Astyanax mexicanus: one gene and its partners. The protein of the gene in region 2 purifies or fractionates together with the protein of the main gene of each other region. This does not show direct contact. Links are inferred from orthologs where the notes say so. Each region holds a gene or a part of one and is shown on either strand. Other genes may lie near its edges. The genes, in order: fmr1, stau1, eif2ak2 and rpl6.

Region 1 (8,166 bases), on a different chromosome or scaffold from region 2:
CATGAAATAATGATACAGTATGATTTACATTCTGAGACTTTGGTTAAGATAACAATGCTTATTTTTAAAGAAGCAGAATAGTTACATTCTTTAGTCAAATACCAAATACAAGTTCCTGTGTTCTTTTTGCACAGAAAAAACACATTTACTTAGAATGAGTCCATTAAGTTTACCATACTGACTCAAATATCATCTGGTACTGATGAGACTGATTTTATCAATACTGCTCAGTGTTTCTACAGACCCTCAGGTGCCACTGAGCTCCACTCAGCAAACAGCACAGCAAAATACACAGCAACCACTTTTCCTACTATGAAAATAAATTATCACTTATATCATCACAAAATAAGTGGATACTCACTTGTTCTCAAAAGCCACAGTGACTGTGTTTTCATGCACATCCTTTATTAAGGCCTGCAAGGAGAAACATTCAGTCAGTTTCTACACTGAAACTACTTTCAATATAAGCAAACAGTTATATACACATAATGTAAATTCCAGTCTTGAAATTCATGAAATGAAGTGATTTTAGAGAACTGCAATGTTAATGAAGATGGCAGAATTAACAGAAGGAGAAGAAGAAAAAATACATTATTTTTTAAAAGTCAATGTAAAAAGATTTTATTTCAATTTTGAGCATTTTATTGGTTCATTTGTCATGTTTTGGACCGCTCATTCCTTTTGAACAATTCATTTTGAGTACAAACAATTATATTGATATGACAAAATCTGAGATACAAGGTTTTTGTTTCTGAAGTTATACTGAAGTGTCTAGGCTAGACTAATTTATAAATGTGTATATAGAATTCACACATCAGGGCATCCCTACTTTTAAATTGCCTGCATGCAAAATGCAGGTTTAGATGTACTCTAAAGCTTGCACTGGGTTGCAGCATTTGAATAGATTCTGAGTAGTGTAGCACATACAAGTGACAACAATATAACCACCTAAAATAGGTGATCTATAGAAAGCACACAAAATGAAAAGGAACACGTTTTGCCCAGTATTCATCATTTTGCACTTTTTTCATCTTTGCCACATTTACAAAGAGCACCACACAATTGAATGACCTATGCTTTAATTAGTATTACATTGTATTCCATTAGTAAATTATGTGTAACATTAGACGACAGCTAAGCAGTAAAGCCAGCAGAAATATGGGGAAACTGAGAATTCTTACAAATGGTTTCTGTCTCTTAGATCTTACTTTAAAATAACAGAATTATATTAGTATATTATTATGACCTGTAATTGTGTTGAGCAAAACATTTTTAATTATCTCATTACAGCACATTACTCCATGCTGGTTACAATCTGATCAAATCAAATTCAGTCTTTCCTATTCATTTGGCCTAACACCAAAAGTGCTTTTTTTTTTTTTTTTTTACATTTTCAGCCCAATAATGTTGGTTGCCAAATACTCAGTGCATCAGTATTTGACTAAGTAAATCCTTCTCCTGTATCCCCTCTTTTTGGAGCTGCTTTACTTAGCTTGCTATATAACTACAAAACATCTACTATATCTAATACATTAAACACAATTAAGATTAAATTTAATTTCATTGTCATTGAAAAAAGTACTAGCCAAAAAAGCTCAATGAAGTTAACATCTAACCAGCAGAAGTGCAAATGATTGAAGATATGAATAAAGAAACTGAATGAACAGCGTGCACATACGGAACCATAAATGGAACAGGTCAAATGCAGCATCAAATGTTGTATAATTGTGTTAAATATAGAAAACATAAAAGTATATTTTCACTGTCCAATGAAAAACATGCATCTCCAAAACAACAACTATACAGGAGAAAGATAAAACCTTCCTAACTTTCAATGGAAGTCAATGTAAAAAGAGTTCATTTGAGGTCATTTCAAAGAAATTCTGGAGGTCCGTTCACAAAGAATTTTTGATAAATTGTAAAGGAACTGTTTTTTTGTTTAAATTATGTCGAAAACTAAAAAAAACAAAAAGGGAGATACGTGTTTTTCATTGTACAGCGACATATACAGATGAGAATATAGAAAAAAGTACACATTTACAATACAACATTTGCCTCCAGTTCTCTTACACTACCATGCTGTATGCACAGATAAGCAGAAGTAATAAGTAATATTAGCACATATAAAATAGCAGTGGCCAGCCAGACAAACAGGATCAGCACTGATCTAATGCCACAAACTTGTACAGAAATGAACAGGTGACACAGTGCTGACTGCTGGCCGCTCAGGACATGCCACACATAGGCTTCAAACACCAGCATAGCAAATGTAGTTAGCTGTAATGATGTGAACAGTCTTTACAATTCAGATAAACAGAATCCTAACTGAAACTGAAAGTCCTAATAATGAACAGAAGCAGATAAACCAGCTAACTATGAAGTCTGAGTCCCAGAATCACACAGTGTGTAGCACAGCCAGCTAACCACCATCCCCTGCAGCTCCCAGCATTACGAGCAATGGCAGCTAGTGGCCTAAAACCAGCCGTCCAGCCATTTTAGGCTTAATGTGAATCAAATGTAGCGCCCGGCTCTGAATTACAGGCTTAAAACAGCGTTTAACTGAAAGCTAGTGCAGACCAGACCCCGGTATACAGCGTTATGAGCGGCTGAACCGAGCTTAATGTACCGCAAACACACGCACTCTCACACAGCTTACATACAGACAGACTGCCCCGGCGGGCCGGGCCTAGCTACCGAGCCTGGACGGCTCCAGCCGCGCACGGAGCCCCGCAGACCCCCAGCGAGGCGCGCTGGGTCCCGGAGACGGAGCTAAACTCGGAAGCAGAGAGATAGAGGGGACGGAACGCAGGAGACTCACCTTATAGAAAGCCCCGCTCGCCCCCCGGACCTCCACCGCCAGCTCGTCCATGGCGCTGCTAGCTGCTGCTGCCCGCAGTGTAACAGTAGCTGCTGCTCTGGGTGTCTGTGGCTGCTGCAGCCGCCGCCGTGTGGTCGCGCCTCCTCCCGCTTCTCCTCTGCTGCAGGGCGGCGCGCTCGGTGCTTCTGTCGCGTTAGGCTGGAGAGCAGGGGGAACAGTGCATGGAGCCCCAGGCCGAGGCTCAGGCTGCTGAGGCTGCTGTTGCTGCTCGTCGCCGCTCCGCTCCGATGTAAACACGGAGACACAGCTCCCTCCTCCCTCCCGCACCTCCACACACACTCACGTGACCCGGAGCTGCGCACTACGTCAGTCCCTCACTCAGTCAGTCAGTCAGTTAGCGCGAGCACGCTCCCCTCATCAAACCCTAACTAATGCTGTCCATACACTAACATTAGATCAGGGGTGTCCAAACTTTTTTTGATGGGGGCCAGAAGGAGAAGTATATTTGAAGTGACGGGCCACAGACTCTGTATTAAAACAAATAATGAAATATACCACTTTTTTTTCCTGATTATTTCATTTACACACCATTTTACTTGACTTACTATCTTTATCTATCTTTGACAGTGTTGTGTAAACTAAGATTTTTCAAATTGATGTTTAATTTCATGATGTCTCTTAATATTAAAAAAAATTAAACAAATTTTACACTCATTTGCCCTTTTTCTGCGCTAAAACTGCTCACTCTCTCCGCTTATAGACTCTTTGCCCCGTTTTTCTGCGCTAAAACTGCACAACCTCGTCGCTTTTAGACTCTTTGGTCCGTTTTTCTGCACTAGAAATAAGCACTCTCTCTGCTTTTAGACTCTTTGGCCCGTTTTTTTGCACTAGAAATGAGCACCCTCTCCGCTTTTAGACTCTTTGGCTGGATTTTCTGCGCTAAAACTGCACAACCTCATCGCTTTTAGACTCTTTGGCCCGTTTTTCTGCGCTAAAACTGCGCACTCTCCGCTTTTATACTCTTTGGCCCGTTTTTCTGTGCTAAAACTGCGCACTCTCTCCGCTTTTATACTCTTTGGCCCGTTTTTGTGCGCTAGAAACGCGCACCCGCTCCGCTTTTAGACTCTTTGGCCCGTTTTTCTGAGCTAGAAACATGCACCCTCTCTGCTTTTAGACTCCTTGTCCCGTTTTCCTGCTATAACTTCACTCTCGCCGCTTTTAGACTCTTTGGCTGTTTTTTTGCGCTAGAAATGCGCACTCTCTCCGCTTTTATACTCTTTGGCCCGTTTTTCTGCGCTAAAACACCTAGCGTTATAAAAACCTGGTTAACAGCGGGCTAACTTTCATTCTATTTCTAAAATACCCCGCGGGCCGTAGTTTGGACACCCCTGCATTAGATGATTTTAGTCTGACACCCTCTCACATCTAAAGACAAGTCACAGACTAAAATTTTGCAAAGGCTGGGGATCACTATTTAAAAGATTGCTAGATTAACGTTACTAGATTCTTTCTAAGATTATTTATCGTGCTTCTGGTAGAGTTTACATACAACACATATTACGTATTAAGTTACAAATAATGTGTATATCAATACTGTGATTTATCAGAGACTCAACTTTTGTCCTTATCAACAATTACATTTTTTTTCACTCTGTTAGTTCTTGATATATGTATATGTATCATAACCTAGAATCGGATTCATCCGCTCTTAAAGTAGACTGCATCACACCTGCCCAGTTTACATTGATTCTTCCGCATGCTTGCTGCAATTACCCATTCTCACCAGAGAGGGCCAAAAACTTAAGCACATCAGCTTTAAAAGTACTAAACAGACACCAAAATACTCTGTGAAGCATTTAGGTGGCTCTTGTCTGTTTTTTAAGGCTGGTAACTCTGATGAATTTATCCCATGCAACAGAGAAAACTCTTGGTCTTACTTTGTTTTCTGGGGCAGTCCTGATGAGAGCCAGTTTCATCATAATGTTTTTGACGTGTGACTGCACTTTAGGATACTTTCAAACTTCTTCAGATTTTTCGGATTGACTGACCTTTATTTCTTAAAGTCATTTTATCTTTACTTAATTTAGTAATTCTTGCAATTGGAGTAATGGATTAGAACATTACTCAAATAGAACTATTCACTGTATACCGATTTACCTCTTAACAACTTTACAACTGATGCTCCCAAACACATTTAGAGGCAAGACATTCTTTAAGTAGTTAATTCTGGATGAGTTCAGCACAGCTGTTAACTGAAAGCCATTCCAGGTCCTTCCAGGACATTTTAATATGTGCAAAGTACCGTCTCAGCAAGAGGTTTGAAAACTGTTTGAAGAATCTAACAGATAAAACATATTCTGATTTGTTTAATACTTTTTGTTTGCTAAATAATTCCATGTTTTTCTTTATAGTTAGGATGAATTTAGTATTAACAGTATTATCTACAATGCAGAAATTTTTCAAATAATGATAAAAGCACTGAATTTAAGGTGTGTTTTGAATATTTGAATATAGGGTTATACTTTAAGGTCTCATCTTAATCTAAAATGACCTATAGTCCTAATTACCTTTAATTTCCTGCTTTAAAGTAAAGACTGATTCCAAGCTATCTATTTTTGTCATTAGAATGTTTCCTGAATGTTACAGTTAACATTCTTAGAAAGTTCAATCTGTCAAGTTTTCTAGATATTATTAGAATTCTTATTATTCTTATATATATATTTTTTATTTAACATTTTAAACATTATGGTATGGTTACTGCAACATCACTTGTTTTAATCGATGTTAAGTTTTGAGAATGTTGCTTTTAATGTTTTTATAATGTTAGTATTCATTTAGATGGGAACATTATGTGAGAAACATTCTAATATCATTTTAATGCAAACCATTATAATTTCACATGTTTTTAGAACGTTTCTGGAACATTATGCCTGTAATGTTAAAAGCTAACCTTCCTGGAACCTTTTTAAAAATAATGCAAAACATTTTCAGTAAGTTTTCTGTTAGCTTGGTATAGGCTTGTAGTTATTAAAAAAAAAAAACATGTATTTACCAAGTGGCATAGTGCACACCATCACTGTCCAATGAAAAACATTTGTCTTCAAATGTGCAGTTTCACAGGAGACAGATAAAGCCTTCTTAACTTTCAATTGAAGTCAATGTAAAAGGAGTTTATTTCAGGTAAGGAAAACAAGACCTTATAATAGTTACATCAACTATTAAATCAAATCAGATTTATTGTAACATCAGAGTGGTACAGGTGAGTGAAAAACTTGGGTGCACAATATTTACAACATAGAGTGGAATAAGTAAATAAAATAGAAAATATACAATTAATGTAATATGCAGTACAAAATAACTTGCACTGTAGATGTAATGTAAAATATAACTGAATATATAGTTATTACAATGCCATATACATGTGCAAATAATCTAGATTATACCACAGTTAGTTTCGACTCTGCAATGTGATTGGCTGAGAGGCGTTCTGTGAGTGCCGTTATCAGCCGGTAATGCTCTCCATGTATTACTCCGCCACATACACGTAACCTAGCAGTGATGCAGTGCTTACATGCCAATCAGCGCAGCTACAAACAGAGCAGCAATGGATCTCTTTTAATTCACATTCAGAGTTTTAAAACCAAACAGATCATATATATTTTTTTCGTTCTTGTTAATTTTCAATCTTTCAATAAACAGTGATAATGGATCTGTGGTATAAACGCAATAAAACACTAAAGGTTCGTGCTATAACGTGTAATATTAGCACTGCTGTGCACGACCGCAGCACAGCAGTGCCAATATTATGTATTATGTATTATGCAATAATACAATGCCCTTTTATGTATTATTGCTTACTGTAAGTATGTGTGCGGAAGTGTGGAGATAATTCAGGTGTAACTAGTATTAGTAACTATGAGTAAAGTGCAGGTACCGAGTGAGTTGTGTGGGAAGTACAATGTGCAGAAAGGATAGGTGCAGTGTGAAGTAAAATGCAGGGTGCAGTGAGTTTGTATGTGATGGCAGTGGTGTGGGTTGGGCAGAACACTGTTCTACTGGCTGTTCAGCAGCCTGGTCACCTGGGGGAAGAAGCTATTTCAGAACCGACTGGTTCTGGTCTTCAAGATTCTGAGCCTCCTTCTACTTGGCAGCTGTGAGAACAGGGAGTGGCTTGGATGGGAGGGGTCCTTCATGATCATTCTAGATTTCCTCAGGTGGTGGTTGGTGTATAAATCCAGAAGGTTTGATAGCTGAACCCCAGTGATGTACTGAGCTGTACGCACTACCCTCTGCAGGGATTCTTTCGCTCAAGAGCAGTACAGTTCCCGTACAAGGTGGTGATGCTGCCGGTCAGGTGTAGAAACTCCTGAAGATGATGGGGTTTAGACCCAACCTCCTTAGCCTTTAATAGGAATCCTGTTATGTTAAAAACTCTAACCCGAATCAATCATTTGCTATTCGATTAGAACACACACTCAGATTGGTGCCATAAGTAAGAAAATAAGTGAGAAAATCATGGTACTGTATATAAGCTGGTAAAATGATGTGTGTGCAGTGATGATGTTCTGTTTAAATGGATATATTTTCTTTAGGAATGTAGATTTCCTCTGTTGTGTTTTGTCTCACTGTGAACGTCACACAGGCTAATGGCGGTAGTAAAGGGCAGTGTGATTGAGATAAGGATAAGGACTTGTTTGTGTCCTTGTTTACAGTGTATCTCTAAATCAGATGTGCTGGTATGGCCTACAGTAGCAGGACTGTGGGGGGAATATGGGCGATTCCATCATTGTGTAATGAGGTGTAAAGTCACTTTGTGGAGATTATTAGAGAATCTGGAGCTGAACTGAGATCTGGGTGGAAGTGAATGTTGCAGACAGTCAATAAGAGGCACATAAGTGATCCATGAGGATCCACACCATTGTGTTCAGTTCTGTTCAAGAATTGGAGTACATTACTGTAGTTTGGATATGTAATGCAAATCAGCAATTTTGCGCATAGTTGTCAAATTTCAAATTTGCATCTTATTTGCATAAATGTAATGGCTAACCACTTTGTTTAAGTCTGTTAGGTAGGGTAACACCTGTTGGAAGAATGTTTAGCAGGTTCCTGTAAAGTTAGCCTGCAACCTTACAGAAGTAATGTTTCAGGAATGTCTCAAAACGAGTGATGTAATAATAGTTTGCATTACAACGTTATTAAAACGTTTCTCTCATAACGTTCCCAGCACACACACACACACACACACACACATTCTCTCTCTCTCTTTTTCTCACATGCTGTCTCCCCCTCCCTCTGTCTTTCTCTCACATGCATGGTCTTTCTCTTCATTTCTCTTTCTCATACTCTCT
Region 2 (8,156 bases):
AAGGAAGTTAAAGTCAAAGTCATATTCTGGCCTTCACATAACATAAGCAGCATGCAATGTAAACCTCAAAAGAATTAAGTTGTACTGAAATAATGACAAGTTAAATCCAAACTAAAACAAGCCATCAGAACCAGTAAAGATTTTAAAAGTTTTATCAAAGAAAGGCTATTTAAAGCAAACATGCATTAGTTCTTCTGACTGAAGATGGTAAGGAAGCCACAGACTATAGAATTTGAATGTAACAGAACGTACACTCGCCCTTGTAGAACCCACCTGGGTTCCTGCCCTGATGGCGAGGTCCTCTGTTGCTGGGTTTGGGCAGCGACGTCTGGGCAAGAGCACAAGCTGCTGCAGAGTGTTGAGCTTTCTTTATGCTGGTCCCCTCTGCATCCCAGTGCTGCTCCCCCAGAGTTAACCGCACAGAGAATATCTAAAACAGAGGAGAGTCAGAGACAGAGAAAGACAAAAATGAGGGACATGAATGCAGAAATAATCTAAGCAAACAGAAGAGAAGTCTCAGGAACTGTATGTGTATGTGGTACCTTGGAGTGGGCTGGTCCTTGCTCGCTGAGAAGCTTATACTCAGGTTGGATCTTATTGTAACGGGCTAATTCATTCACTAAACACATGGGGGTCTTCTCTTTAGGGTTTGCCATGTTAGATACTGAAACAGAACAGAGTGGAAACAGTAATATTAGGCTACATTGTATTCTATAACTTCTGTATTTTTGAGAAGATCTGACCAACTCCCACATTCAGAACAGGTTCTGAGCCTAAAGTACACTAAAACCACATCTTTATAACGTAATTACTATATTTAGTCTTCTATATACATTTCACTCACCTGTAGGGTTACAGAAGGGCGTGGCTGAGGCTGAGGGCAAGGCGGAGCTTCGTAGTGGATGACTGGCACTCTCTGAAGGTAGGGAGCCAGAAGGAGAGGGAATGCTGAACCCAGGCTGGGGTGGGGTCAGTTGTACAGGGGCAGAACTGGCCATAGTGGTGGTGGTGGTGGGGGACTGGAACTGAACCTGGGACATTTTGACTGGATTGTGTGGATACAGAAGATGCTTTGCAGTCTTGTGGAGGGAGAAAAGCGCACAGGAGAGGTTGCAAGAATGTGCAAGGGAAAGGTGAATGCAGGTGTTTTAAATGGAAGGAGACTGCAAAGCTCTACCTGCAGGAAGTGAGGAATAAAAAAAATGTTAAAGGATGTTTAAATAATTCAACGTACAACAGCAATGAGATTCAAGTGTCCAGTAAATACACTCCGTACATGATGGAGATTAAGACCTTATTACCTAATGTAAATATAAAATAAAAAATCAAAGCATATCAATATGCATTTACATAACATTGAGAAGAATACGTCTGATGATAGGGATGGCAAACAAAAAGTAACTGCTCCTGTGCTTATTCGCCATCAAAGTCCTGATGTATTGACTGACCACCTTCTTGTTTATACACTCACTGCCCATTACAAGCTCTATTCATACAAGAACACTTTGTAGTTCTATAACTAATTACAGACTATATTTTAGCTGTCCATTGTAAAAGGAGTAAATCCATTTTAGTTTTTTTTGTTAGTTTACTACACAAATGGAACACACAAACTGTACTCTACAGTACTGTTGTCTAAATAATTATGGGTGGTGGAATATTCTTAGTCCAGCAGTGACAGTGAGGTGGTGAGGTGTTTATTTGATCCACTTAATTCAAAACAACACGAGTACAGTAGCTAGCTAGCTAGGTTAACACATAACCACCACGTCAGTATGACAATGAATCACTGTGTGCAATGCTGATGATGACCCACCACCAAACAATAGTTAAGTTAAGTAGCTTAGCTCTGTGTAGCCTAGCTGCTCTCTGGTGGTCTTTTTGGTGTCCTGTCTTGACCATGGAAGACCAGGGTAAAAGGATTAATGATGTGTCAGGCAGCTGACAACACAAGACAACAAAGTTATACAATGGGAATTAGACAGCTAAGCTAGTTGCTAGATAGCTAAATAGACAGCTCTGCAAAAAAAATTAAGAGATCACTTAAAACTGATGAGTTTATTTGATTTTACCAAACTGAAAACCCCTGAACTACAATCAAGATATCAAGTCCATATTCATAAGGTTGCAAGAGCTCAGAAACCAATATTCGGTGGAATAACCCTGGTTTTTTATTAGATTTTAAAGCATCTTGGCATGTTCTCCTCCATCAGTCTTACACACTGCTTTTTGATTACTTTATGCCACCTCTGGTGAAACAAAAAATCAAGCAGTTCAGCTTGGTTTGATGGCTGTGATCATCCATCTTCCTCTTGATTATATTACAGATGTTTTTAATTAAGTAAAATCAAGGGGAAAACATAATTAAGTAGTCTCTTTTTTTCCAGAGCTGTTATATAGCTCACTATAGTTTTAGCTTGCTAAAGAAAGGATAGGGGGCAAGTTAGTTAGTTAGATTAATGAATAAGTGTCAGGCAGCTGACAACACAGAACGACGGAGCTAATATACAATGAAAAATAGACAGCTAGGTTAGGTAACGTAAGCTAAATATATATAACGTTAGTTTTAACTTACTAAATCAAGGATAGGGGTCTAGTTAAGCTTGCAAACCTATTAATATGCTACAACTTGACAGATAACAATAGCTATCCTAGCTAGGTTACATTTACTTTAAACCTCAAGATACATACATATACTGTATTATTAATGTGTCAGCTGCCAGGAAAATAAAGTAAACCTAAATTAAAGCATTAGCCAGCCACTGTTACCGTGTAAACAGAGAGAACAGATGGAAATAGCTAACGTTAACTAGCTAAAGACTGGGTTAGCATGCTAGCTATTGTTACAGCTATGGCTAGGTTATCTAAGCTAACGTTAACTTGTTAGCCAGCTAAGACACAAAACAAGACTTCAGCCAAATGACAACTGCGTGTCTAAGACCTATAAAACGTCTCCATCACGCACAGTTAACGCATTATTATAGGTACAGGATTGTACAGTGTGGTATTTGCCGGTGGGGGCTTAAAAAAAGCAGGAGCTAGCTAACAGAGCTAGCGTTAGTTAACCTAGCGGCTCTGCTCCCTGCTCTGCAGCTCAGCGCCGCCACATTACCGCTCCTCACCTCGGGTTATATACTGCAGGTCCGCCCGGGAATTAGTCCATGAGTGACGCGGTTTGAGCTTTAGCACTGGCCTGCTTTAGATCCAGGTTTATGGGAGGCTTTTTGTGGGGGTTTCTGAATTAAAATGTAGGTGAGGTAGAGCGGAGAAGGTGGACAGGGCAAACACTAAAGAGAATTGCCTATTTTTCCGCCCACTTCCAGGATGTGACATCATGCGAGGCAGGTTTGAGAAGGGGGGAGACCACTTCAAAATGACCAGTTTCTCTTATTTTAATGTTTATAGCTAACGTTAAATGTTTGAGTAAAAAAAAAAAAAACATTGTGGTTTTATTCTATAAACTACAGACAACATTTCTCCCAAGTTCCAAGCAGAAATATTCATTTTAGAGCTTTTAGAGCAATTTGCAGAAAATGAGAAACAAATAATCTAAACAAACAAAAAATGCAAATAAAACAACCTCATATTCATTTAGAAACACTAACACTTATTGTTTAAGAGTTTAGAAATCAATATTTGGTGGAATAACCCAGATTTTTAATCACACCTTTCATGTCTTGGCATGCTCTCTCCACCAGACTTACACGCTGCCTTTGAGTGCAAAATGCAAAAAAAATCAAGCAGTTCAGCTTTGTTTAGTCGCTTGAGACCATCCATCTTTCTCTTGATAACATTCTAGAAGTAGTACTGTATTTATCAAAGGTAATGTATCTAAATGTGGAATCTAAAGTATAAAAAAAAAACATTCTGGTTTGTTTAACCCTTAATGTTTACAGGATGATTCCACATGTTACTGTACAGCTTTGGTGTCAAAACAATGTGTCCAAACTTTTGACTGGTACTGTTATATATCTATAGCTAAACCAGTACTTTTATACAATAACTTAAGTAAAAAGCTTGGGTTGAGATCTCTTTTTGAAACGATCCTTGAATACAAGCATACAGAACATACATATTACATTATTATATTATATGTTTTAACCCTGTTTTCTTGTACACATCTTGCTGAAGTCAGTAATTTTTTCTGACAATTATATTTTAAATCCACAACCATTCTCCCTTTGGCATTGCATTTTAAGTTCTATTGCTACTGTTTGTACAACTCTTGAGGCTTTAATATACTCCTTATGACAAAGAGTCACGATTGCTTAAATAAAGAAAAGAAACCAACAGTGTATTTTCTTATTGTCAATTTTATGTGGAAATATTCAGGTAAGGACTGAAGTACAAACTCACACATCTGCCTTATTTCTGACCATACAAAATGCAAAAAACATCACATCAATAAAATAATGATAAACAGAGCTTATTCTGCACCTTTATAAAAAAGATTGGTAAAATACGACCTTGTTGTATTATTAATCCACCTGATGTGTTCACATCATAAATAAGACCTCAAGTGGTTAAAGCCAGAGACATATTTCATAGATATCAGTGTCTGAGATGTTAGCGCTACACATCTGTTCAACTCAACAAAAGTGTAGCCAATAAAATACATGTATTGATCAAAACAATGAAGCAACGTAACCATATTTCATCTTAATTCTTCTAAAAATTTCAGTCACTGCTGATATGACAACTCCATATCAGTAGTTATAAATTAGCTAATGCATTTGTGACAACTCCAGTGCATTAATAAATGTAACCACGGATATTACTAAAACCTTTACTTCTAAACAAAATAAGATGAACTCTTTTATTGCTATGAAACATACTGAGCAACCAGCTGCTTTAGAAAGGATATTAGATTTGGTTTGAAGTATAGTCTTGCATAAATTAGGATCCTGAGCATCAAAAGTTTAAAGGGTTATAGATTGTAGGCCTGCCGGATGTTGAGAGTGTCTCTCATCATCAGATCTCTGAGTCTCCACAACGCATCAGCCATTGTGGTGTGAGCGCCTTTACTCTTCAGCCAGTGAGAAGGAAGACGGCTCTCCTGCTCCCTGCTCAGGCGACCGTCTGTCCTTTGAGCTAAAATGAAAAAGCAAAAACTGATTTGTAACAATGTTTTCAAAATAAATAAACAGGTTTCAATCTGGACACTTAATTTTCTCTATTACCCTTAAGACTCTGGTCCCATTTGCTGATTGTGGGGCTGTCTGCGCTAAGCCCCTCTATGTATTTTAGATAGGCTTCTGAATGAAGGAGCCTCTGTGGTTTGGGAGGTGGAGCAACAAACATGGGCATGACTGGCTGCTGGTGAGCAGGTTGACCTTGGCTTGGATATGGCGGTGGAGCTGGCTGCCCTGGACCGTATGCACCCATCTACAAAAGGAAACAGCATTAGACCTGCAGTTCACTGTGCATATAGACAGCATTAGAACTAAAATTAAAATACATCAAGAAAACAGCCTCAGACATCACGGACCAATCAGAATCAGCTTTTTTTCTTTTTTCAGTTAGGTTGATTGCACACAACAGTAAGACTGGGATAATAAGATAACAGAAAACTATGATTAGTCTACTGTATTAAGCAGATACACTATTTTGTTACACAAATTCAACATTGTTTTATAACCCGCACATTTTGTAATTATGTGCTCATCGTAGACATACTGATATCTTGCACACTTGTATTTAAACGGTCATCTACAGACAATATGTATATATGGATAGGTTTCTTAAAACTTTATAAAATGCTTGACCTGAGGAATGAGTACAAACAAATTCAAATGTACCTGTACTACTCGTACCTGTACAAGCGGCAAAGTAAATAGTAAAATTTATATTTAAAATTAATCTTCACCTGAAGGCCGTAAGGATTTCCTGGACCAGGACTTCCATTCATAACAGGGCCCAATACACCTTTAAAAAAAAGATCAAAAAAAGAAAATGATGGTGACGTTTGGCGATCCATTAGATTATTAATAGATTTGCTTATTTAAATAGCAACTGCTAAATGTGTCTACATTGATTAAAAGGTGTAAATTAGTGTGATGTGTGTCTTTGGTGTGTTAGTTGGTGTTTACAGAACTAACTTTTATTAGTAGAATAAAGGTGACTGCATGTGCAAATTGTAAAGATTGTAAAGAAGTCCAACAGTTGGATAGGTGAGAAAGTGAGAAATAACTACAATAAACCACTGCCATCATCAGCAACTTAATATCACAGTAAAGGGAGAATGAGACAGATTCGTCTACCTGTAATAATAAATCAATCAATTATGACAATTGCAGTTATATTAAAAAAAAATAAAAAAATAAAATAAAAAAAAAAGTTTACTGCCACACGGATTACTGCAAACCAGCCACCAATGCAAGACCACATTACTTTATGGTCTAAGACAGAATTTTCTTGCTTTTGTTTTTAATAATGCTCACAGATGTTTAAGGTACATGCCGAAATCTGGATTCTCTTTTTAGTCAAAAATTTTAGTTTTAATTTGAGTATATACATAAATAAATAAATAAATCAGTAAAAAAAAATATTATTAATTTACTTTGTTCTAAATAGAACATATAATTGTAATTACCTATACAGAGCTATCTATTTAGCCTATATTTTAGAAGGACTAGAAGAAATATTTAAATAAGTAGGTATCCACACATAGCCAACACCACCACACCAGCCTCAAAACTACACGACATGCCAATAAAAAAAAATCCTTTATGTAAGAATATGTAGAGAAGTATATTCTGCTGTTTATATCCTCCAATATTTTTTATTTTGTAAACTTCAGGCACCATTATGCAGGAAGAATACATGCTTCTTTGCTCTAAAACATCTGATTAAAATGCTAAGTTTGCTACGAAAAGTGAAAATAGAAATTACATTTTATATAAGATTCTTATCTGCAATCTTCAAAACATTTATTTAAAAAAAAAATAACCTTTTTCTACTTTTCTAAAATATCATTCTTGTCATAGAGGGTAAAAAAGTGACGTTTACTATAACATAACTTTGTCCCTGATTGGGTGGTGGGTTGCTTGCTTGTGGGATTGTTCTTACCAGGAGGGGGCATACCAGGGTACCCAGCCATGCCCGGCGGAAAGTAGTGTTGAGGGGGCAGCGGGGGCACCCCCATAGGGTGAGGAGGCGTGCCACCCATACCCATCATGCCTTCAGGAGGGCCCTGCATAGGCATGAAGGGTGGGCCATAATTTCCCATCATGCCTTGGGTGAGAAGGGAGAGACAACACAAAAGAATCCATGCATCGGTGACATGCAAATGTGTCTGGAGTCATGCACTACAAAATAAAAGTCTAGAGGAGTGAGTTAGAATGAATAACATGAGCCATAAGTGTCAAACCTAGGAGAGACAAATGACAGAAAAGAAGTAGTATTTGCATGTGATGTTACAGAAAGACAGAAACCATGCAAAAAAAGAAAAACAATAAACAGAAGTAGTATCAATTATTACACACTCAATACATACAAAATCGCCAGCATTATGAACCAAAGCATATTAGATACACTTGGGGGTGCTGGCGTGTGTGTTATAACTGATGAATGTTGGGAATGAGTTGGGTTATGGATGAGGTCAGTAGATGAAGGGATTTTTTGGAGGGTGCCCAGATGCTGCATCTTGATTGTCTTGGGGAAAGGGGTTGAATGGGATTTGGGGTTACCTGGCATAGGTGGCATGGCTTGATTTAGCATCCCCATAGCAGTTGGGGGAGGCACCACCCCCATCCCGACTGGGGTACCTGCTCTTGGGGAAGCCTGCTGCTGTTGCTGAAGCTGCAGCTGCTGTTGTTGCTGCTGCTGCTGTTGGAAGGCTCTCTCTCGCTCCTGCTGCTCCACGAGTTTAGCTGCCCTTTCTGTGTACAGACAGCATGCAAGATACCAACTTTTTAAAGATACAATTTGTGCTGTCTGGGATTATGCTGGGATTAAAACAGATCAAGGGCTAAATCAAGATGAATGTACCTTCATACTCCCCCTTCTTAGTGGATTCCAGGTTCCTCCACTCTGTACCCACAAGACGACTCAACTCTCCAAAAGAATAATCTGGGTGCCTAGCCTTGATTACCGCCCGCATCTCACTGCTAAACAGGATATAGCCACTCATGTTGATTTTGCGCTTGGCTCCTTCT
Region 3 (7,779 bases), on a different chromosome or scaffold from region 2:
AGGCAAAACTATTATTTGTATACCTTTTAAAAAAAGATTGATTGTATTTTAAAAAGTATCTTGTGAAATTACGTATTTTATTCTTTTAAATAATCCAAGATTAAAACACATTATGTCCTACACTATACACAAATACATCAAATTTATTTCTATTACATTATTCTGTCATACTACTTCAGTTCATGTGTAAATCTAAGAATGTCAGTTTCACTCCAGTAAATGAAGAGTGTGATTTGTGAATACTCACTCAGGATTGTGGGCGGGTCCTCTTTTGTCTACCAGTTTAAAGTCCCAGGCTTGACCACTTTTCTGACAGTAGTGGTTCAGTAAACCTTTAAAATTATTATCTAATCCAGAGCTCTCAGAAAGGCTGTGGCTCAGGGATAGACCAGTCAGGGAGTAGCTAAGAGAAAACAAAATAAACAGGATTATTCAGGTTTTCACAGAGTTTAAATCAGTGTTACGTAATTAAACATATGGAACAACTGTAAGATGATTCCTGATTCATGTTTCTTTTTTTCCGCAAAAGTTAATAGTTAATTTAAATAAAAAAATTAAGTTAAAAATTTCAGTTTTTAGGTCCAGGTCTGTACACTGTAATACTGGTGTTTAAAAGTAAAAAATCATTACTTACCCGAGATCTGACATGCTCGGTTGTTGTGTCTCGTTTGTCCTTTCACCGGGAACCTTCAATATAAATTATTGTTAAAATCACAATCATAACTTTGAAGTAGTTTAAAGTTTAAATAAACTAGAAATATTAAGACACACAGTTTCATTAAATACATTTACATGAACACTAAGCATTAACTATTAACACTGTCGAAAAAAATTAAAAAGTGCTATACATAAAAAAAGTAAGTAGCGGTATCAGAATGAGGTGGTCATAATAATCTGGCAATACAGAAATCTAAAATCATCTGAGTTTTAATTACAATGTTTTATTAAACCAAATGTTTGGAGGTGATTACTAACATTCGTTAGCTTGTGGCTAATAAGCACTTAAATCCTCATAGACTGGCTAGCAGAAATTAGCATTACTACAGCGATGGTCAAAATAAGATGAGAATTGACTGAAAGCTGAGTGTTTTATTTTTGACTTGATGGATTTTTTCTGGTTATTTAGAGTTACGACTATTACATGTTCTGCTTCTCATATTTCACACTCATATGACCATTAAATATTTGGCAGGTCATACAGGGATTGTAATTATTGGGACTGGGACAAGGATTGACTGATTTGCCTATTGTGATGTACCTAAATTCTTATTTATTAAGCTACATTAGCCGTGCATATAGCATTTTGAAATGTGATAAAAGTTTTAAAACACAAATGTAATGTATTTTTCTTTTTTTTTTTTACAATTTCAGTTTGTAACACTTTATAACACTTACAAAAACAGTAAGTGACTGACCTCAGCGTTATTCTCCCCATTAATTGCTTTATACACGAGTTTAGCCGCCTCCTCCTTCGCATCCCGCTTTACTCTGCAGACGGCTGTCGGATATTCTTTATCACCACAAACAAACTTACAGGCATACTGTATTCTGAAAAGAAAAATCACATAAATAATATTAAATACCGCCTCATTATAAGTAGGTTTAATTTAATTTGAGGTGTTTAGATACTTGCTGATTGTTGGAGTCCAGCGGCATCGACTCGACGAACTTAAAATTTAATCTCATCTTCTGACCGTATTCATTCAGCCAGCAGGTAAAGTTGGCTTGAGTCAGCTTTGGTAAACCATCGAGTGAGCAGGGACTGGTTACCTGTAGATGTAAATATATATATATATATATATATGCATATATTTATGTATTCATGTTTACATTACATTACATTACATTACATTACATTTAGCAGACGCTTTTGTCCAAAGCGACTTACAATAATCAAGTACAATGTAAAATAAGTTTAAAGGTAAAACATCTTTGGATAGGGATAAAAGGAGGACAAAGGGGAATAATAGGATAGAGGAGTGAAGGAGGGGAAGAAGGAAATGAGGTTAGAAGTAGTTAGTGTGTTAGAGGTGTTAGGAGAGTAAGTGCTCTTTGAAGAGCTCTGTCTTCAGGAGTTTATTAAAGATAGCGAGAGATTCTCCTGATCTGGTAGTGGAGGGTAGTTTGTTCCACCATTGTCTTTTTCAGGTGCAGATTTTCTCAACTAACCACCACTTTTGCTGTACTAGCTGGCTCCTCCTCCTGTATGAGACTGAGGGCATTCTTAGCAGCATTTTGCCTAGCTTCTTTCTTGTTGCGTCCGACGCCTTCAGGATAGGGTTTATTATTCACCACCGCCCTCACGGTGAATCTGAAAATTACATTAAAAAAATATATATATATTACTGTTTTAAAGGTTAAACATTTTAAAGCATTATACTTAAAGTTTATTTTCTATAGGGTGATCCAAACAGGTTCAACAGTAGCAGGGATATTAAAAAATACCAATAATAATAATAAAAAAAACGAATTTAATCATAAATATTACAAACATAGATGAGGAGTTTTATGGATTTTTGTTGTTGTTTAGTACGTATGTCAAATGCATTTCTTTAGAATGTAAAAACTGTAAAATTGTACAAATTAAAAAAAAAATCCTATGCCTTGATAGTGATAAAATGTCTCCATATAATCGCATTTTGACAAAGATTTAAATTATTTAAAAGATTTAAATTAAAATGAAATCAAAATCAAATCAGATTTATTGTCACATCACAAAAGTACAGATGTACAGGTGAGTGAAAAACTTGGGTGCAAGTTCCACTGATATGCAGAGACCTATATTTACAACATAGAGTAGAATAAGTAAAATAAAATAGAAAATACACATAGCAACATTACCGATTAATACAAAAATAGTTATTGTAACAAAATAATAAATTATAAAAATACTGCCACATCATAGAATTGAGGACTGGGACTTAAAAATATTACTATCTATAGAACTGCACCAACAATTAAAATATACAAATATGTAGTTTACAAATACAAAGTAGCAGATAAAACCATAAATATATCCTGTAGTTGTTCAATGTGAAGGGAAATCTAATGTCAATTTCTACAGAGAGTAAAAACAGCTGCTTCATCCGGGCTACAGTTCACCTGTACAGGTGTACAATAAGCTACAGTTAAGTTCAGGAATCAGGTGGACTCACATTTTGCTGTGATCTGGACCCTTAGTGTCCACATCCTCAAACCTGTAGGTCAGGCCAGTCTTCTGAGTGCGCTCATTCAGCAAAGCAATGTAATTACTGCTAGATGCCATTAATAAATCAATCAAAATAATCAATATAATCAATAAAATCAATAAAATCCAAACAGTCCAATCAGCAGCACAGAGTGAAAAAACACCAGAGATCAGTTAGTTTAAAGGAAACATAAATACTTTTTAATAAAATAATAAAACGCTGTAAAAAAGCTCCTGTGATCAGAGCTGAGCTCCGGCTGTCGCTCCTGATCTACAGAAACCTGCATAAGTTTCGTTTCTGATCAAAAACCTTCCCCTGCACGAGCCCGACTTCACACAGCCGACCAATAGAATCCGCCCGACGCGGGTCGCGTGTTACAGAGGGCGGAACTAGAGGAACACAGCAGCGGTTTCCAGCCGAGCCCCACGATGCAACGTTTTTTTTTTTTTCAAAATAAAAGTCCGATCTCGCCACTAATAACAGCGAGTGCAGCTCAAAAAATTAGAAATATGCTTGAAAAGTTACGTTATTTCAGTAATTCAGTTTAAAATGTGAAACTCATATATTACATGGATGTATTACACACAGAGTGATCTATTTTAAGCGTTAATAATCTTGTATTATATAACAATTATTGTTGATGATTATAGCTTACAGCCAATGAAAACCCAAAAATCAGTGTCTCAGAAAATTAGAATATTATATTAGACCAATTGGTACTTTTGGAGCAGTGTGGGCAATGTGCCAAGTCCTGCTGGAAAAAGAAATCCACATTTCCTGTAAAGTTGTCAGCAGAGGGGAACATTGTGTTGTAAGATTTTGCAGGAAATTAAAACTGCACTGATTTTAGACTTGATGAAACACAGTGGACCAACACCAGCAGATAACATGGATCTCTATTTCAGCAAACAATATACAACCTTTACTATACACAATAAATATACACAATAAACATGCTTCAAAATGTATAGTAACGTCAACTGAAAAATAAACATTTCCTCCCAAATTCTTACATTATTCCATCAGAATGTGATTTTTCACCTTTCAACAAACCAGACACACAATCAAAATATTTTTTAGAATTTATTACAAATAAATATTATTTGAATATCAAGACAAAGACAAAATTCTTCAGAACAAATTGAAAGAAGATAATGAAAACTAAAATTATACGACAGATGTGCCAGACGAAGCCTGTTGATTTAATCATTATGGTCTGCTGCCGTATCTCCAGGACAATTTGAGCTTAAATCCTCTTCATCTATAAAGCAAGAAACAATGTCTGATCATTATTTTAAAAAGCGATCAAACATTTATTATGATACAATCTTGTTTTTTTAGAAAAGATAAAATAAAAAAATGAACAAAAATGATTTTTTTATTTTTTGTGTACCATTGTATGCCGTTCCACACCATATGCAGTAGAAATGCACGTCCCGCAGGTACGAGGTGATATACTGCAGCTTCTCCAACGACTGAAACCATAAAGAAACAACACTGTTATCATATGTAAGCTGAATATTAATCATATTTATACTTCTTAAGTCAGCATGTTTATTTTTTTTTACCGTCATCTCCTCTTCATCACTCTCCTCATCACTGGACTCTTCAGGATGCTCTGCCTCCTCAGTGATCACTTCAGGCCAATACCAGACATCCTTCGGTGCGACTTTACCCTAAAACAGAAAAACAGGCATCACTGAGGCTGCGTGTGAACAGAATAAAATCGTTTTTTGTTTGTTTTTATTCTGATTTGGGCCACTTTCATATGTGGTTCTAAAATCAGACATGTGTCGTATTAGGGGCAATGCAACAATTTGTAATTCATACGATAAGTATTGGAAATGGACAACAGCAGTGAGGGAGGGTTTCAGTTGTGGGTGGGGTAGTGAAATAAATTATAAAGCTTGGGCTGCAACCACTTAGTGTTTCTATTAAAACAACTGAATCTGGACACTGGAGGCTGCGGCTACAGCGTCAAAGGTCAAAATCTTACTCACACATATAAAGAAGCTGATCAGATCTGATCATCAGATTATTAATTTTTTTTAACCTGCTGGGTGTCGAGTTGTTGACAGGCCCGCTGGCTCCGCCTCAGATCCGCCTCTGCCTGCTGCTTCTCTTTCTCCGACCTCTTACGATCTCTGTGTTGTAAACAGGTCTAGATTTAGTTATTTAAACACAAACACAAACTAGGGGTTGCACAACTAAAACAGTATTTTTTTTGTCTTGTAGAACTAAAAACAGTATTTTTTTTGTCAAAATGCACTCTAGAGGTTGCAATTTTTAGTTTTTAGTTTTTTTTTTAGTGTCGTCTAATGCTAATATAATCAATCAGCTATAGACGCCTCTACATTACTCTTGCAAATATTTACAATAAGAGTATATTAACAACAAAATGTTTCAACTAATTATTACCACACACTAGTTAAGATATTAATAATAGTTATTATGAATTACCTATTTAACTAATGTCTCAATTCATTATTATTTATAACATTTAAAATGTAAATAATGAAGTAAAAAACACAGCACCTTACTGTACACACAATATACTGAAACATAAATAACATGGTTAAAAACAGATCTAACTTATGCTGAACACTCCTGACCACATGCACCTCCCAAATACCGGTGCTCACCTGAAATCCTCCAGGTTTCGTTTCTCCATCTGTTTTCTGATCTGGACTTTTTTGCGGTGATGTTCCAGTTCCTCCGCAGCCTTCCGCTTCTTCAGCTCCTCCAATCCGATCCCACCTCTGTCTAATAAACACAAACATCAGGACCTTCCAGTCTAGAACATTTTAGATCAGACCCGTAACTCAGACACACCTCCTACCTGTTTTAATGTTGAGTGGAATCGGATCAACTCGCCCAGAACCTGCAACATAATAACATCTATTAATAATAATTAACTATTAGAGCACGGATGAACTGACCAACCAAAACACAGTTAACAACCATGTAAAATACATCTGCAAACACAATATTCTGCCTATAGATGGGGCTGATCAACCAGTAATTATTATGAATCTCTGTAAAGAGAGAAAATTGAACCTAATGTGTGCTGCCTACTGTTAAAGGCCTAAGCTTTATAGGGTGTAAGTCTTCATCAAATAAATACAATTGTAAAAAATAAAAATAAATAAATAAAATAAAATAAAATGTGGGTACACACGAGCTGTCATTGCAAATGATCAGTCACATGACTCCTCAACTGACCACTTTTAGATTAGATTCAGGGAAGCAATTCAAAGTTTTTGGACAATGTTAATACAAAATTAATGTCAATGTTTCTGATAAAAAAAAAATATGGATATGTTCATGAAGCTTAGTTATGAAAAATGCAATTTGGTCTTATATATATCTATATTTTATTTCACTCACACTTTTATAATCTGTCTAAAGGAAATATGCTTCAGTCTGATGTAGCATTGCCGAGTAGCATCACAGCGCTAACGTTTGGAGGAAAGCGCTGCGACTCGGTTCTGATACATCAGCTCACAGATGCAGTCTTGTGCTGATCCACATCACCCTAGGAGTGATGAGGAGAAAGAGCGCCATCTACTGTACCCACCCAGAGAGAGCAAGGCCAATTGTGCTCTCTCGGGGCTCCGGCAGCTGATGACAAGCTACATGACCGGGATTTAAACCAGCCATCTCCTGATAATAATGGCAGTGCTTTAGACTACTGGACCACTCTGAGCCCATCGATCTCCTTAATGTGACTGTGAATGTGATGTCAGATGTTTTTGCGTTGCTGACCCTCTCTCCCAAGTCCCTGTCCGGCCTTATAGCCCATCTTCTGTAACAGAGCAAAGCCCTTGTTCTCGGTGCTGATGGAGCTCTGCAGCGCCTCCTGCCGCTGCTCCAGCTCCTGCTGTTTGATGCTTTTCTGTCGATTCTCTACACATTTTTCTTTATGGAGATCCTCTCTCTTCCGAGCCGCCTTCTCCCGTTTCACCATCGGCACGCCGGGCCTGACGTCCAGCCTGGCTCACAAATCAGAACCATGTTACATCATTAGAATATATCTGCTTTAATTACATCATCAGAATATAACTCTGCTATAATTACATCATTGCAACATAGATCTGATTTAATTACATCATTACAATATATGTGCTATAATTACATCATCACAATACAGATCTCCCTTAATTACATCAATTACATCACAATATATCTGCTATCTGCAGCAGACAGTAATAAGTCTGTGCACAGTAATACCACATATTCATAACTGCATTTTTATGCAGTGTATAAATCCTGTATTTGAACTAAAGTAAAGATAGGGAAGGTAAAATATTACTGCAGTAAAAGGAAAAATTCTACATTGAGACAAAAGTATTTTGATGTCTGTTAAAATGATCATAAACATTAAGAAAAAAACTATTTCCATTAAATAGAATCAACTGGCTAAAAGTAACTTTGTTAGGTACGATATAATAAAATATATAATATAATATAATATAATAAATATATAATAAATATAATATAATAAAGTACGATATAATAAAATCACGCTGTACACGCTAATGAGTTATCTTTTCGTATCATGCATAATACAAAATATGTTCAACATTTTGCA
Region 4 (8,528 bases), on a different chromosome or scaffold from region 2:
GTTTGTGTGTGTGTGTGTGTGTGTCTTTGTGTGTGTGTGTTTGTTTGTGTGTGTGTGTGTTTTGTAGGAGATCTGTCTTAAAGAGTCAGAGGTTGTACTGTGTGGAGGGTCAGAGAGTATGAGCCAGGCCCCGTACGCTGCTCGCAACATCAGATTTGGCACCAGACTTGGGCTTGACCTGAAGGTGGGGTTAATTTTTATTGGTTCGCAAAAAGAGAAATATATACATATTTATTTTGTATTTATTTATTTGTTTATTTTTGCTGTCAAATAACTTTTTGGAGTCCTAAAAGTTTTTTTTTTTTTTGCACATAAAATGTAGGAATTTTAAATTTAAGATTAAAATTTTAACATTTTTTAAATGTAAATAGTAAAATAAACTTATGTGTTTGGCCAAATAAGAGAAAAGACTTTATCAGTTTATTTCTTCACAAACTGCCTGTATTTGTTTGTTTACCAAAACCTAGCTCGAGTAGCTCTGCTAAGGTAAACTCCTGATTAGAGTAGCACTGTGTAGGTAAATTCTTCATTAGATTAGCAATGCTAAGGTAAATTCTTGATTAGAGCAGCACTGAGTAGGTAAATTCATGATTAGAGTAGTGCTGCAGAGGCAATTTTTAATTAGGGCAGCGCTCCCGAGGAAAACACATGATTAGTGTAGCACTACTAAGGTTTGTATGCTGAGATATTAAAACTATTATTAAATTTAAGTTTTTTTTTTTAACTGCATTATGTGACAACAATGTGTTTAGTTTATGTAATTGATTCAGTGGTGATAAAAGTGACAAAATGAATGACAGAACTTTAAAACAGTGTTCTGTATTCGGACAGACTTTTTATTTTGTAAAAATAATGATTTATGTACAACACTCTCTAGGAAGTAGTGTTAAATTTTTAATAAAATACAAATAAAAAGTAGTCTCATTAAAAGGTTTAGAGAATGACTTCTAATATTCTGTTCTAAAAATAACATCCTGTGTTTGTGTGTGTGTGTGTGTGTGTGTTTGTGTGTGTGTGTTTGTGTGTGTGTGTTTGTGTGTGTGTGTGTGTGTGTTTGTGTGTGTGTGTTTGTGTGTGTGTGTGTGTGTTTGTGTGTGTGTGTGTGTGTGTGTGTGTGTGTGTGTGTGTTTGTGTGTGTGTGTTTGTGTGTGTGTGTTTGTGTGTGTGTGTGTGTGTTTGTGTGTGTGTGTTTGTGTGTGTGTGTTTGTGTGTGTGTGTTTGTGTGTGTGTGTGTGTGTGTGTCAGCTTGAGGACACTCTGTGGGCGGGGCTCACTGACCTCCACATAAAGACACCGATGGGCGTCACAGCAGAGAACCTGGCAGAGAAATATCAGATCAGCCGGGAGGACTGTGATCAGTACGCCTATCAGACTCAGCAGAGATGGAAAGCAGGTGAATTTTACACTGCAGCACCAGTGCTTAACTCACTATCGGCTCGTTTCTAACCCGCCTGTTTCCTCCTGCAGCTCACGAGGCCGGATACTACACCGCTGAGATCGAGCCCATCGAGGTGAAGGGCAAGAAGGGCAAAGTGCCCATGACCCACGACGAGCACCCCCGTCCCCAGACCACGCTGGAGCAGATGGCCAAGCTGCCGTCCGTCTTCAAAAAAGGAGGAACAGTTACTGCAGCTAATGCTTCTGTGGGTATCAAAATAAAACACATTTTACTGTTTATTATTAACTCACCTTAAAATTAATACATATTAAACACAGAGAGAGAAACTGTATAGTGTACGCTAGGGGTGGGAGATATGGCCCTAAAATAAGAATTTTATCAGGTTTGTAACAGAAGTCAATGATCCAGAATATCATGATACTAATAATAATAATGCACTCCAAATATCTCCATATATCCAGGATTAAAGTAAAATAAATGATACTGGACAGATATAATCTGTCTCTAGTAGATATATAATTGGGAAATGAGAACAGTGTGGGACTGGGGACTGTTTACATTAACACGTGATTAATCTGGAGATTTTAACACGTTATTTTCAATGGCAATAATCACGTGACAAAATACACAGAGCCCACTTCAGTATTACTGGTTTAATTTGTGTTTAGAAAGTAGATTACTTTTTAATTTATACTGAAATTTAGAGAGTAATAAATAAACACAGAGCACACATCGTGTTTCCACTGTGTTGTTGAATGTGGAATATGGAGCTACACTTATAGTAGCATCAACACTACCAGGTCTGCCAGAAACACCACACTACACCACTAGTGTTACATAAATGATTATAAACATTGTTTTTCACACTTTAAACAAATCTTTCTCTCAGGGTGTGTCGGATGGTGCGGGAGCCGTGGTTATAGCCAGTGAGGATGCTCTGAAGGAGCACAAGCTCACCCCATTGGCTAGAATCGTGGCCTATCACGCCTCAGGCTGTGATCCCAGTATAATGGGCATTGGTGAGTTATAATCATGCACTTAAAACTGAATAAAAAGTAGAAAAATAGTTGTTTTCTCTTTGTAAAGTGAATTTAATCTCCCTGCAGGTCCTGTACCTGCTATAACTGCGGCTCTGAAGAAGGCGGGACTCTCACTGAAAGACATGGACCTGGTGGAGGTGTGTGCATCAGTTTGATTTGATTACTCATGTCATGCAAATGTGTTATTCAAGTTTTAGATATTTAATCCAGGTTTTTGTTTGGTTTTCAGGTGAATGAAGCTTTTGCTCCTCAGTATTTAGCGGTTGCTAAAGCTCTGGGACTGGACCCAGCGAAGAGTAACGTTAACGGAGGGGCTATTGCTCTCGGACATCCACTCGGAGCCTCTGGAACCAGAATCATCGCACACTTAGTGCATGAGCTCAGGTAAACAGACTTTTAATGTAGGGAAGGAAGTCCTAAATGAGGGAAATCGCTCTATAAAATCAAACTGGTGATTCAGTTTTAGTCACAAGCTGTGGCTGAAGAGGGAAACAAGGTAAAATAAGAGCTCATTTTTACTCATTTATCTGCAATTTAATCAGTTAGACACAATTGTTCAGTGTTTTTTAGGAACTGTGTGCAGGGTGTGATATCCCAAAATAGCCTAAATATAATTAACAGGGGAATTTTTAAAAATCTTTTTGATCTATTAAAAACATTTGTAATGATTCGTTATCATGAAGCCATTGATTTACCCTTTCACCTTTTCTAAAAGAGACTTTAAGCTCTAAATCAGGTTCACTGGGGGGAGCGAGTGCTGTGCGTGATCAGGCGTACTGATCATTTTACCAAATTGCTTATAAAAGTCTTGTTAAATATGTCTTGTTTTAAAGTTTGGGGCTAAAAACAAATAATAATAATAATATAAAATAAAAATGTTATATACAGGCTTCCAAAGCCCATTAGAAAATTTAAACAAAATATATTACTTTTAATTTTATTGGATTTTTTTTTTTTTACAGAATATGTTGAGTCTTTTTTTGTGTGCATTAAACATAGGAAACATATAGGAAGTGCATAATTCAACTTCTGAAAGGAACAAAAGAATTTAAATAATAATCACTTTAAATAAATATTGTGTTTTGTTTGTCTCTAGACGCCGCGGCGGCCGGTATGCTGTGGGCTCAGCCTGTATCGGAGGAGGACAGGGCATTGCCATAATCTTGGAAAACACGAAATAAACAGAGCGTTAATCATGTATATGTTCATACAGACATCATGTTTAGACACCATGATTAAAGAACACTCCACAGAACTCCGCCCACCTGCCAATCATCATTAAATCACCATGATCTTCAAATAACATGCATATGAAAAAAAAAACATCTTTAATAATAAATCTCTGAGAACTCTTAATGTGTTTATAATGTGAATTGTGTGACATTAAAAACAACTTTGAACACAAATTAATCCTGTTAACAAAACTACAGAGTCTGGGGATGCATCAGCGCTTTTTTTAGTTTTAGTGCTGTAAATCTCGTAAAGTTCTTCAGTGTGGAATATGGAGCTACACTAGTGTTTATTTCCTCCTTCAAACCTCTCAGTTAAACTCAGTAACTCATCACATTACAATATTCCCATTTAAAAGCATCAAAAATACCCTGAGATTATTTAGTACATGGTAAAAATAAAAATCGGGATCTTTTCTGCCAGAGCTAAACCACACTTCACTATTGTTATGGTCTCCCTCCCGAACAGTATTTTTATACATAAAAATCACATTTAATCACAAGTAATCAGTAGAAATACTCCAACATTAACTCTAAATTGTTCCACTGAAAGGTTTTCATTCTTCTTCTGTAAAAAATAAATGCAGTTTTGAAAATGTAAATCCTTGTGTTCTGTTTTCCAATAAAGAGAGCAAGTGCAGTGAAATGTAATGTAATAGTGGTTTTGCATTTTATTTTTATTTACTTATTCTGCAGGTCTGTGTGGAAAAGCAATGCATCTTGTAGATTGCATTTACATTTTTCTACAGTAGCGTTTGCTTTTCAATTTGGCAGTAATTCCTCTTTATATTTACAGCAGCTGTGAATATATATATATACAATCTTTAGGTCTGGAGCTCCGCGTGGTGATGAGAGTGTTGGCCTACAGGGGGCAGTCTGACTCCTCCTGCCGCACGAGCTCCACAACAAGAACCGCAGAAAAAGAGCCGAAACACCAAAGAGCCGGAATAGAGGATAATACCCACTGCAGAACATCTTCAGTATTTGTCCCGAGTGAGTCCAGAAAAAATGAGTGTGTTCATGTGGAGCAATTGAGAAAAATCCTATTTTATAAACGTTAAATAATTTTAAGACTGAAACACAAAGCAGTGCAAAATGTTTGAGAATTGCAGGGGTTATTTTATAAGCTTTTAAACTCTCCAGCCAAACCATTACAGCTCAAGGGAGCAGAAATATAGTGCATTTACTGCATAAAATTGTTGATGTTTTGATGTCTGCTGTAGAAAAAATGACAAATATGGTTACATTTTCTATTAGATTTTTTTTAGCAAAATGCATTTTTATCCTGTTATAAAAAAAGTTATTTTATTTTATTACCTGTTTAGCCCTTTCAGACATGAATTATCTCTTTCATTTTGACCTTTTTATTTCATAAACCATCCCTAAACAGGATCTGTCACTACTGTTTATCCAGAGTTTTTGCAGTAGGCGGAGCCAAGCTACTGTTTCATTAATTTATAAACTTGTTCATTGGCTGGTTGATGGTCTATTCTGATGGACAACAAACAGCTCACAAATAGTGTTGCAGTTTGTGCAACAAAACATTAAAAAATAAAGAAAATAAATGATGTTTACTGTAATGGATTCAGGGTCTCGGTCTCCCGCGCGGGCTCCCTCTAGCGGCTGGCGGTGATTCTCCGCCATTTTGAAGTGGTCAGTCTCGCCCCATAAACCAGCTCTGTTTACACGTCATGCGCGTATATATAGGTGAAAGTCCCGGATGTCGGTCTTTTTTCCCTAGCTTAAGGTAATCACGCTCTCCATGGCGATGTTCTCTCAACACAATCTATAATCATCCGCTTTATCGGGGCCGCGCTGTGGGTTTAGAGCTTGAGAGAATGTGCTGTGGAGTTTTTAAGACTCTAATATGTGAAGATTTCGTGTGTAAAGAGTGAATTTAGGGATTAGATGATGTGTTTTGTGGGAGCGGGCCGCGGTCCGGCTGAGTGGAGCGGTTAGCGGGCAGCACGCAGTCGCTCCGGGCTCGGTTCCGCTGGAGCTTCCGCTGAGCTGCTGGATTAATTTTATTATTATATTTATTATGAGTTTAGTAGTGTATCTGCGGTTCTGTAAAGTGTGTGTGTGTGAGCTGTGCCGCTAGTGTTTAGTGAGTGTAATGTAGTGAGTATGCTATGCTAAACTAAGCTAGGCTAACGTTATATTCTCATTTATAAACAGGACAGTTCTCTTAGAGTAATTTATACTCGTTTACTTGCTGTTTAATGTATATAAAGTTCGTGATATTAAGCTTAAACTGCTCATAAATCAGATTATTCTGTTATTTTCTCTGTGTTGCACCTGTGTGATAGTTGTGGTATAGCTAGTTGCGTCAATATACGAGCTGTAGCCTTTAAATGACTGTAAAAGTGTTTTATTTTAGCTTAGTTTAACACACTGGCTGTAAAGTTATGCTTTAATTAAAGACATAGAGCTATGCATTTATATAAGGCTATTTTATTTTAGTTAATACAGTTTATATGTTGATATGAACAGTATAATAACCCCTGACCTTGGTGTAGCTATGCATGCATTAATAGTGCTGGGAGATGATGGAAAAATATACTATTACAGTATTTATGATTAATCCTGTGCTGCACAGTATTTAGTATTTATCATGTTTGACTCTCAAAATGCACAAGCAGTGGCAGACTCTTAAAAAAATCTCTGCAAAATCCAATACACTTTAATGCAGAGTACATTGATTTTACATATGATAAAAAGATGAGTCTTATTATTATTATTTTTAATATACACTATATAATGAAATACACTGTTATATAAGTGTTGGTTAAGTAGGGATTGTATGCATATTGTTTTTTTGTAGAAATTAGTGCTTTGGGGAGGTATTGGGAGGTTAGTTTGATTTTGACTGATGATGTAATTTGGTTTCAGATGGCTGAGGGCGATAAGAAGAAGGTCGCCCGTAAGGCGCACTGCAGCCGTAACCCCGTCTTGGCCAGGGGCATCGGCCGCTTCTCTCGCTCCGCCATGTTCGCCAGGCGGGCCATGTACAAGAGGAAGACCAAAGCACCTGAAACCAAGGTACCACACACTCACCTGTCCCCCAGTCCTCCTGCTGCAGGATTTCTATTACAGGGTTCCTGCAGGTCTTAAAAAAAACTTAAAAACAGGCAGATTCCACCAAAGATCTTAAATTAGTCGAGTGTTGATGATCTGTGGCACAATCAGATTTTTAGTTATTAATTATTTCTAATTCTTTAGTTTAACTTTTAATATATCGTTACATGGCATATCTACATCAAATACAAGGTATATAAGTGGGTTATAATGAAAAGTGTGTGTGTGTGTGTGCGCAAAAATAAGTGTTTGGCTGTTTGATCTCAGTGCGTTCTTGTTAAACACAAACTTACTAAAGTTGTGTTTGTTGATTTTTGGCAACGTTCTGCAGGTTAAACTTTCTTTCTGTAAATTATTAGGTTCAAATGATCAGTATAACAAAATTCAGAATAGAAATGTAGCTGTATTTAATAGATCCACAGTGATTCCCAAGCTTTCAAATGTATTTCTACATTGTATTCCGAAAAATAAAATTCTTGCCAGAGACATTTAAAGCTTTACTCTGTCTAATCAGAAGTTCTGTGTTTCTGGGGGCTGCTGGTGTTTATACCGGTGCTGAAATACAAATTCTATAATAAACAGAGGAGTCCCAAAGAAACGGACCTGTTTACCCACTACCTGTCCGTCAAACACTGACTTAATCACCAGAATACTGAGTTAATTCAGCTTCTGAAAACTGTTTCAGTCAGAGTTTAATTGATAACTACAGAGGTTCTTGCAGTAGTGTTTTGTAAGTGGTCTCCAGTAATCAATATAAATCTCACTGAACTGTAAAAGAAGACAGTTCAGTTGGGGACCTCCGTGTGAAGATTCACTGAGATTTGGCTTAAATTTAAAAAGCCCTACCAGATATGAAGTCTGTTCATAATGAATTATGGAAATGGTGATAATGCTGATATAATTATCTAAACTTTATATTTAAGTAGTTTTTGCTTGTTTTGTTTAACTGTTAAATCGATCAAGTTGTGATTAATTCATGTTCTGTTTTTTAGATTGAGAAGAAGCTGAAGGACAAGACCCCCACCACCGCCGTCAAAACTGTTGGTGGAGACAAGAATGGAGGCACCCGTGTCGTCAGACTGCGCAAGATGGTAAATAGACTGGAATTTGTTTTTATTGCTTTTATTTTATGAGTTTTAGGGATGCAAAATAATTATATAGGATGTCTAGATATTTCAAACCAATATTTGTTGATTTTAGTATTGTAGCAGAATCACTTGCTGCTTATTAACATAAAACAGGCCAAAACTGACCATGCTAAGTGGAAAAATTAGCTTATCAATATATTCCTTTTTTTATTAGTTTTAAAACTTTGTCGCATCATCACACCCTGTATTTTTTTAAAAAAGTCTTTTAAAGAGGATCAATCAGCTAAAAAGGGAACAAATCTCAGGAGAAACCTTTTTAATTTTATTGGTTCTGTACAGTTGGTTAAAAGCTAAAATGTACGTATGTATGACTAAGTTATATTGAAGTGTTTATCTGCATTGTTGCATGTTTAATGTTCCTTATCCTTTTTCCAGCCCCGTTATTACCCTACGGAGAATCCTCCCCGTAAGCTGCGGAGTCACGGCATCAAGCCCTTCTCTCAGCACAGGAGGAAGCTGCGCTCCTCAATCAGCCCTGGAACTGTGCTCATCATGCTCACCGGGCGCCACCGCGGAAAGGTACCAAACCTTAACACTCTTATATTGTATGTACAGTTATTGCATGTTTATTACAGCTTATTACACTCCAAACAATCACTGATTGGTGGAAACTTCACACTAGACCTCGAGCAGT

The links.
Region 1: the proteins of stau1 (region 2) and fmr1 purify together in Homo sapiens (affinity purification with western blotting; 3 studies listed by BioGRID and IntAct, with this or other methods). This does not show direct contact. The link is inferred for Astyanax mexicanus from reciprocal best matches to the Homo sapiens genes STAU1 and FMR1.
Region 3: the proteins of stau1 (region 2) and eif2ak2 purify together in Homo sapiens (affinity purification with mass spectrometry; 4 studies listed by BioGRID and IntAct, with this or other methods). This does not show direct contact. The link is inferred for Astyanax mexicanus from reciprocal best matches to the Homo sapiens genes STAU1 and EIF2AK2.
Region 4: the proteins of stau1 (region 2) and rpl6 purify together in Homo sapiens (affinity purification with mass spectrometry; 4 studies listed by BioGRID and IntAct, with this or other methods). This does not show direct contact. The link is inferred for Astyanax mexicanus from reciprocal best matches to the Homo sapiens genes STAU1 and RPL6.

What each region holds. Positions count from the first base shown.
Region 1 is NC_064417.1:21,672,672-21,680,837, reverse strand, and holds the start of fmr1 (synaptic functional regulator FMR1), read right to left. Parts: upstream 3,129-8,166; 5' UTR 2,870-3,128; coding exon 2,819-2,869; intron 415-2,818; coding exon 362-414; intron 1-361.
Region 2 is NC_064412.1:10,366,422-10,374,577, reverse strand, and holds the start of stau1 (double-stranded RNA-binding protein Staufen homolog 1), read right to left. Parts: upstream 3,324-8,156; 5' UTR 3,123-3,323; intron 1,178-3,122; 5' UTR 1,041-1,177; coding exon 845-1,040; intron 665-844; coding exon 543-664; intron 431-542; coding exon 253-430; intron 1-252. Other genes in the region: pbrm1l (polybromo 1, like), read right to left, coding at 4,928-5,091, 5,181-5,385, 5,867-5,925, 7,069-7,233, 7,689-7,880, 7,990-8,156. UniProt on the Homo sapiens protein: Binds double-stranded RNA (regardless of the sequence) and tubulin.
Region 3 is NC_064414.1:2,504,446-2,512,224, forward strand, and holds the start of eif2ak2 (interferon-induced, double-stranded RNA-activated protein kinase), read right to left. Parts: upstream 3,564-7,779; 5' UTR 3,266-3,563; coding exon 3,156-3,265; intron 2,312-3,155; coding exon 2,170-2,311; intron 1,771-2,169; coding exon 1,634-1,770; intron 1,549-1,633; coding exon 1,416-1,548; intron 688-1,415; coding exon 635-687; intron 404-634; coding exon 248-403; intron 1-247. Other genes in the region: gpatch11 (G patch domain-containing protein 11), read right to left, coding at 4,391-4,449, 4,582-4,663, 4,757-4,864, 5,242-5,332, 5,831-5,951, 6,028-6,069, 6,954-7,180.
Region 4 is NC_064419.1:277,454-285,981, reverse strand, and holds the start of rpl6 (60S ribosomal protein L6), read left to right. Parts: upstream 1-5,396; 5' UTR 5,397-5,415; intron 5,416-6,560; coding exon 6,561-6,710; intron 6,711-7,738; coding exon 7,739-7,837; intron 7,838-8,269; coding exon 8,270-8,413; intron 8,414-8,528. Other genes in the region: acaa2 (3-ketoacyl-CoA thiolase, mitochondrial), read left to right, coding at 68-184, 1,246-1,393, 1,468-1,643, 2,289-2,418, 2,506-2,576, 2,669-2,823, 3,536-3,620.